Linked DNA regions of Ovis aries. The protein of the gene in region 1 purifies or fractionates together with the protein of each later gene. This does not show direct contact. Links are inferred from orthologs where the notes say so. Each region holds a gene or a part of one and is shown in the gene's direction. Other genes may lie near its edges.

Region 1 (3,912 bases):
TATCTGTGTAACCAAATAGAATCATAAATTCTATTATGCTTATTGGGGTATGACCACAGGCCTATTGATAATTGTCCATTGTTAACTACATAGGCTTAAGACATGATCAAGCGTTAACTTTGATTGTATTTCTTTTTCCTTTCTTCAGACTAGTTTCAGGGAACCTCATACACTTAGGGTGTATAAAGTGAAAGTGAAGTTGCTCAGTCTTGTCCGACTCTTCATGATCCCACGGACTGTAGCCCAGCAGACTTCTCCGTTCCTGGGATTTTTCAGGCAGGAGTACTGGAGTGGGTTGCCACTTCCTTCTCCATGGGATCTTCCCAACCCAGGGATCAAACCCAGGTCTGCCACATTGCAGGCAGATGCTTTACCCTCTGAGCCATCAGGGAAGAAGGTTTTCACAAAAACTGGTTGGGGTCCTTGGCTAAAAGGAGACTCTGCCTTGGGCCTGCCAGTGTAATAAACTGCACTGCCCTATCTGCATTGTCCTTCTGAATGAGTTTCTTCCCCGGAAGGCGTGGCTACAACATGACCAGATGGGGAGCCTTGTGGCCTGGAAGCCTGACTCCCCTGATCCTGTTAAAGGATGAAAAGGTCCTGTCCGGTGAAAGAAGCAACTCCCAGTCACTAGCTAGGAATCAGCGTCTGCTCTGGCAGTCCCGCTGCTAAGAATTTTAACGGGATCATCGTATTTGACCCCCAGTTCCCTGAAGGAAGCGTCATCAGCTCCATTTTTACAGAAGGGACTTAAGTCCCAAGCTTAAGACCCAGTGCCTTCCCAAGGTCATTAGGCCAAGAGGCTGAAGGAGATTTAAGCTGCGCCTAAGTCTCAAATCCAAAGACTGGGAAGGGCTGCCTCCGAACTAGCTGAGACATGGAGGAAGGGAGGCTTCTTGGAAGAGGCAGAATTTTCTGGTTCATTCTTGTTCAGCGGGTAGAGGGTGTGTGTGTGGTGGGGGGAGGAATGGGGGGATGGCAGCCCTATCGCCGCATTGCAGTGCATGGCAGGTATGAGGAGGGTACAGTAAACCCCAAGGGACTCGACTGCGACAGAACCCTGGAGGCTGCAGAGACTTCCTGTCCAGCCCCCAAGAGACCGCCTCTTGGGGCTACACCTCAGGGGCAAAAAACACAGTTGACCGTTCCCTTTATAGATGGCAGAAACTAAGCCAGCCCAGCGAAGGCCGTGGGTCTCGGCACAGAAATCTGGACGTCGGCTGGCTACCCGGGAACCAGGCAGGAGGGACCCAACAGCTGCCTGAGACCCCGCGTGGCGCCTCAGCCTCCAAGCCGCACCACGTAGCCACCCTCCTCCGCCCCGGGGCGGAGCTGAGGAGACTTCGCGCCTGCGCAATGAGAGCGCTGGTCCGGCGACCGGGCGTCGACGACGCGCACGCAGGGGCGTTGGGGCGGAGCCCCAGCAGGCTGGGCGCCTCTGATAGGCCACATCGGGGGTAAGAGGCGTTCCTGGGCGGGGCCTCGAGGCCGGTTTGGAATTTTTGGCGCGAGCTGGGTCCGCGCGCGTTCACGGGCCGTTCCCCCTCTAGAGTTCCCCCGCCCGGGTGTGGGGAGCGGTGGGCCGAAGACCCCGGCCCGCCTGACCGCCCCGAGGGCTCCCGCGCCTTCCGCTGACCCGGAATCTGGGACTTTGCTGAGCTGCGCCCCGCCCACCCGCCTCAGGTGAGCCCACACCTGGCCCTGAGGGTTCCCGGAAGGGACCGCCCTCTCCTCCCTTCTGCCGCCTCCCGAACAACTCTTAGCCCCCCTGACTGGCCTTGGATCTGCCTCACAGCCAACCCCCTCCAGCCTCCCTCCTTACCCCTCCGACAGCCCCAGCCCTCCCTGGGCCAGCCCAACCCCACTGCTCAGCCCTCCCTGGGCCCCTCTGCCGCGGGCGGCTCCGCCCACTTCCCCTTCGCCGGGCCTCCCTATCCCCTTGCTGGGAGCCCCTTACCCCTGCGACTACTCCTCCTTTACTTGTCCTCCCCAAGAAAAGCTCCTCCCCGGTGACAACAGGTCTGCTCCACTCTGTTCGCCAGGGTTTCCCCACGCCCACGGAGGTGAATCAGCTTTGGCCCTGCCCTGGAGGAACTCACAGTCTAGTGCGGTAGACGGTGGTCAGCAGATGGCATCCTACCCACTGAGAGGGTGAGGCCCCTGAAAAGTCATCCCAGCCTGGCCTGTTCTTGGGGCCGCCCTGGATTCACCGGGAGCCCCAATTTCTCCTACCTACCCCCCACCCCCACCCCCAAAGCTGTTTGGCCAGGCTAGAACGTTTACGTACTGTGGGATGGTGTGAGAATTGGTTAAGGGCCTGGAGGCTGTACTTTCAACGAGCACCCTACAGGGGCCTGACACCCTAGTCCTTCGATTTGAGAAACTCTGGGATTCCTGAGATGGATAGAGGCAGAGGGAGCGTCCCCACAGGCTGCAGGGTGAGTTCTCCATGCAGGCCCTCGTGGGGTCCCGCCCCTCACCCCTCACTTACTCAGGCATTGGAGGACACCCTCAGATTACCGCTCCTTCCAGTTTCAGTTACTGACTCACCCCCCTGTGCTGACTATGGACTCCTTTTGCTACACTGTGGCTCCTCTCAAGATTAGACTCTTTTTTTTTTTTCCCCCTTTTTTCTTTCAATTATAACATTATAGCCACACAATAGCCCTCTCTGCTCCAACAGAAAAGTCATTTATACCCATGGGACCACTGTCTTTTGTGTATTTTTTTAATTACAACTCAGAGCATTATATAACGGATACTGAGGAATCTGCATGCCAGATCCTAGACTAAGCCTTCCATAAAGCCAGCATTACAGGTCCACAAGCCCCTGAGTCCAGGTGTGTTTCCTGGACTAAATGTCTAAATTCTATAATGTCTCCAATTTTAGAAAGCTAATAGGGTACATGTAAGACATCATAGCTCAGTTGGTAAAAAAATCTACCTGCAATGCAGGAGACCCAGGTTTGATCCCTGGGTGGGGAAGATTCCCTGGAGAAGGAAATAGCAACCCACTCCAGTATTCTTGCCTGGAGAATCCCATGGACAGAGGAGTCTGGCGGACTATAGTCCATGGGGTCGCAAGAGTCTGACACGACTTAGCAACGAAACCAATCAACCAACCACCATATGTAACACCACCCATTCATGCATCTGGGACATCATCTCATAATCAAATGCATTAGTATTTCTATATGAATATTTATACTTAGAAGGAAGAATAGGCTGGGTCGGATTTTTCTTCTAAATGCTTATTGCATGTACACACCCAATTTTCCCAGCACCATTTATTAAAAAAACTATTTCTTTCCTGCTGAATTCTTTTGGCACTCTTGTGAAAATCAATGGACTCCTTAAGTGTGAGAGTTTTATTTCTCAACTCTCAGTTCTATACCACTGATCTTCATGTCCATCCTTATGTCAAGGGGGGAGTGGGTGTTTTCAGTAACGAGTCATTTTCCTCTTGCTACTCCCAAGATTCCCCGTCACGTTTGGTTTCCGGCACTTTTGACTCTGTGTGTGTGTATCTGCACTTATCCTACTTGAGGTTCATTGAGCTTCTTGGTTATTTTTACAATCACATTTGGGAAGTTGTAATCCATATTTTTCTAGCTCCTTCTCTTCTCTGGTGTACCCATCATGCATATGTTGGTTCACTTTGTTGTTCAGTCACCAAGTTGTGTCTGACTCTTTGAGACCCCATGAACTGCAGCACATCAGGCTTCCATGTTCTTTACTATCTCCAGGAGTTTGCTCAAACTGATGTCCATTGAGTTGGTGATGCCATCCAACCATCTCATCTTCTGCCGCCCCCTTCTCCTCCTGCCCTCGATCTTTACCAGCATCAGGGTATTTTCCAGTAAGTAGGTTCTTCGCATCAGGTGGCCAGAGTATTGGAACTTCAGCTTCAGC
Region 2 (3,912 bases), on another chromosome or scaffold:
GTATAAAGTGGTGAACAAAACAGACATGCCTGCCACACTGGTTTGCTGGAGGTTATGCTATAGTGCGGGTGGGGGAACAGTACCCGACCGAGCGTGCACCTGCTGGGCAAGGATGGAGAGGAATGCGGACGGTGGGGACTTCCTCCGAACAGGTGATGAAGACGACTTTCTTAGCTTAGGCTGAGAGTCAAGAGATAAAGCGACCATCCTGTGGGAGGGAGGCAGTGGCAGGACAATGAAGCTCTTACCGGTATTGTGCTGCACTACCCACAGGCGCTCATTGTGGAAAAAGTGAAAAACACTTTCTTCTTGGCCACGGGGCATGTGAGATCTTAGTTCCCTACCAGGGATCTACCTAGGGTCCACGACATTGAAAGCGCACAGGCCTAACCACTGGACCACCAGGGAACCCCGTACAAGTACCTTAATTTTAAATTAGATTTCAAGCATAACAAGCCAAAGGAATTTTTACAAATCACTTTTAATACCGTCGTCCTCTACCAAACATCATTATTTTAGTAATTTTTATTTTCCCATACGCACGCACGCACGCCTATCTATAGAGTTGTCAGAATGTGCGAAGGGCGTGGGAAGACAATTGTCCCCTGAGAGGTCTCTGGGCAACGGCCTCGCACCGCCACCCCCGCAGCACTCAGTAGCGAGGTTCCGGGATACTCCATGCGGCCTCGCCGCTGTGCGGTATTCTGACGTCTTCCTCACGTCCCGGCACAACTTTGGCTTTCCGGATCTCTACTCCACAAAACGGCTGGGCGCGCCTGGGTTAAGACTCTTCCCCTCACTCTTCCCTCTTTCTCTCAGTCTTTCCCTCAGTCTAGGGCTGCCCGCCTTCCTCAACTCCCACGTACTTCCGGCACGTAGGACCGGCAGCCGAGGGTGCGCGGACAAACTGACGACAGCTCTATAGGCAGCCCCCTCCCACTCCTGGGCCTTGCCAAACCTCGCGATACCGTACCCCTCCCGCAGGTTCGCGGTCCAAACGGCTCAGCGGACCTGGAACCTTCTAAACTCCTGCGCACGCGCTCTACGGTTCCTAACGTCCTGGTTCCGCCCTTCCCTGGCCGCGCCCTTCTCGTTAGGGAGCTCCCCACCCCCACGCCACGCCAATCATCACTTCTTTCCTGGGGCGACCTCGCAACAGGCCTCTGATTGGCTAATCTTGTGCAAACGCCACAGAAAGGCGGTGACGATAGGCTAGGAGCTGGTTGCAGCCTTCCCGCAGGATGAGCGGAAGGTGATTGGTCGGCACCGTTACCCAATCAGCGGCGGGCTGTCGGATTCAAACCTGGCTCGTTCGGCTTACGGTCGGTTGGTCTCAGTCGAGTCGTTGCCTTCACCTGACGCAGACGTCTCCTCACCTGCGCCCTGTCTTCGCGCCGCTTCGCTCTAGTCAGCTGCTGCCCACCGCCCGCCTGCAGGATGGCCCATAAGCAGATCTACTACTCGGACAAGTACTTCGATGAACACTACGAATACCGGTGAGCAGGCCAGACAGCCTACCTCTGCCGCGGCCCCGGGCAAGCCTGGGCTGGAACTCCGGCCAAGGGAGAGAACCTGGGACCCAGAGTCGGGGTCGAAGAGCTTCGGGCTGGGGTTAGGGTCGGGGTCCGGAGTTCAGGTCGGGAGCCAGCCGCGAGTCTCTGTTGTGTTGGGGTCGGGCCGCCGGGGTGGGAGCGCGCGCCTCTCCTCGTCTGGCGGGCCGGCCCAGCCGGCTTCCGCTCTTTGTTCCTGTCTGTGAGGGGGACAAAGCTGGAGCGCAGAAGGGGCCGCTTCTGGTGCAGAGTTGCTGCCCTAAAGGAAAGGGACCGAGGGCCTAAGGGGGCCCGGCGTGGCCGAAGCCTGGCGCTGAGAGTCCGACGCCTGCATAAAAGCGCAACGGTTCCTAAAAACTTCGGCCTACCTGGCATTCAGGCAAACGCCCCCACCCCCCCCCCCCACCCCCAGTCACAGAGGGCGAGGGGCGGTCGGAAGGGTGATTTTGGTCAGGTAACGTCGCCAGAGAAACACTTCTCTCTTGAAGTTGATGGCACTAAAAATTAGTTTGTGGGGGAATCCCCCCCCCCCCCAAACGAGCTTGCTTGGGATTTGAATGTGTAGTGGGTATGGCGACTTTGAGCGGGTGCTGGTGCGTGGTAACCTTCTTGGGTTAATATTGAAGGGGCTTCCTTTTGAGACTAAATTGAGAACTCGAACAGCTTTGGGGCATTTTTTTCTGTTAGTTTATATCGGCCAAATAATTTTTTGCTTTGAGGCTTTTTTTTTTGTGGCTTCTGCATCATTATGTGATGGGACTAGAGCGTAGTTTCCAAATGTGATTAGCAAATTGGATTGTGGGAGGAAACGAACTCTCGATCGCCTTAACGCTTTCCGGAGACTTAACTAGGGTGTGGCTTCAAACACCAGCTCCGCCCAGTCCTCCTAGGTGGTGACTAGGACGCTGCATCCTGGGAAACTGCTAACGTGTAGGCGGGGCCAAACAGTGACCTTTTCTGTCTGCTCTCCTTTTAGATGTCCAAGAAAGCTGTTTTGAGTTAGAAAGCGTACATTCAGTAACAGTGGGTGGGTCTCCTCTTTTCCCCTCCCCCTAATGTCTTGTAAATCTGTATTCTCTGGAGAAAAATTGATTTCTCTGGACAGCCTTGCAGATTAGTAATACCTAATTGCATTGGAAAAGTCTCTTTGTTTGAAGTCAGTTGTCATATTTTTACATACTACACAGTTCTATTCCTGTAATGTGTTGATATGTTCAATTATGTGATGTTGACCAAGAATTCAGCTGGGGATATGCAGTAATGGACAGAATATAACCACAATCTTACTAAAATCTGGATTAATATCCAATCCAGTATTAATTAAAGCTGTTGTTTCTTGACCAAGCCACTTAAACTTTTGTGAAACAGGGCAGTAATCTTCAGAGAAGGGAAGTTTAATTGTATCCTGCAATGTTATCTTAGTAGCTCCTTTGTTGTTTGTATTGTTATTGCCTTCTTTACCTCATCACCCTCCATGAAAAGCACTTGGTACTGAAATGTTAACTTTGGGCAACAATTCTCCTTATATGTAGTTAGAAATATATATAGTTTTGAAAGTGTGAAAGTGTTATTTGTTCAGTCCCGTGTCCGACTCTTTGTGACCCCATGGACTGTAGGCCACCAAGCTCCTCTGTTCATGGGATTCTCCAGGCAAGAATACTGGAGTGGTTGCCATTCCCCTCTGGAGGGGATCTTCCTGACCCAAAGATCAAACCTGGGTCTTCCACATTGCAGGTAGATTCTTTACCTTCTGAGCCATCAGGGAAGCCCAATATATACCCATGCAGGGGGAAAACAAATACATGTAGACTCTCCATCTGAGATTGAAGCTACAGATTTTTCCCTTGTCATCAAACTTTGATGATGGTTAGCCTATTCCTATGGTTTATGGAGAAGGTAGGGATGTGACTTCCACTTAAACATAAAATATTGCTGTATTTTGTAGGGTATACGTAAGGTGAGTACAAAAACACTGTACATTTCTCTTGAGACTAATCAACAATTAGGTAGAAGATAGAAATCAGGTAACAGGTTATTTGCAGCTCTTACAATCAGGGACCATTCTCAATTTATAATCACTTCTGTGGTCTTAGTGGAGAAGGAAATGGCAACCCACTCCAGTACCCTTGCCTGGAAAATCCCATGGATGGAGGAACCCGGTAGGCTACAGTCCATGGGGTCATGAAGAGTCGGACCTGACTTCACTTTCATGCATTGGAGAAGAAACACCCACTCCAGTGTTTTTGCCTGGAGAATCCCAGGGACGGGGGAGCCTGGTGGGCTGCCGTCTATGGGGTCACAGAGTTGGACACCACTGAAACGACTTAACAGCAGCAGCTGTGGTCTTAGATGACTTCTCTTG

What was found.
Region 2: the proteins of PKMYT1 (region 1) and CKS2 purify together in Homo sapiens (affinity purification with mass spectrometry; 3 studies listed by BioGRID and IntAct, counting the BioPlex papers as one, with this or other methods). This does not show direct contact. The link is inferred for Ovis aries from reciprocal best matches to the Homo sapiens genes PKMYT1 and CKS2.

The regions. Positions count from the first base shown.
Region 1 is NC_056077.1:2,892,856-2,896,767, reverse strand, and holds the start of PKMYT1 (membrane-associated tyrosine- and threonine-specific cdc2-inhibitory kinase), read left to right. Parts: upstream 1-1,495; 5' UTR 1,496-1,683; intron 1,684-2,042; 5' UTR 2,043-2,151; intron 2,152-3,912. UniProt on the Homo sapiens protein: Acts as a negative regulator of entry into mitosis (G2 to M transition) by phosphorylation of the CDK1 kinase specifically when CDK1 is complexed to cyclins. Mediates phosphorylation of CDK1 predominantly on 'Thr-14'. Also involved in Golgi fragmentation.
Region 2 is NC_056055.1:24,107,206-24,111,117, forward strand, and holds the start of CKS2 (cyclin-dependent kinases regulatory subunit 2), read left to right. Parts: upstream 1-1,335; 5' UTR 1,336-1,437; coding exon 1,438-1,496; intron 1,497-3,912. UniProt on the Homo sapiens protein: Binds to the catalytic subunit of the cyclin dependent kinases and is essential for their biological function.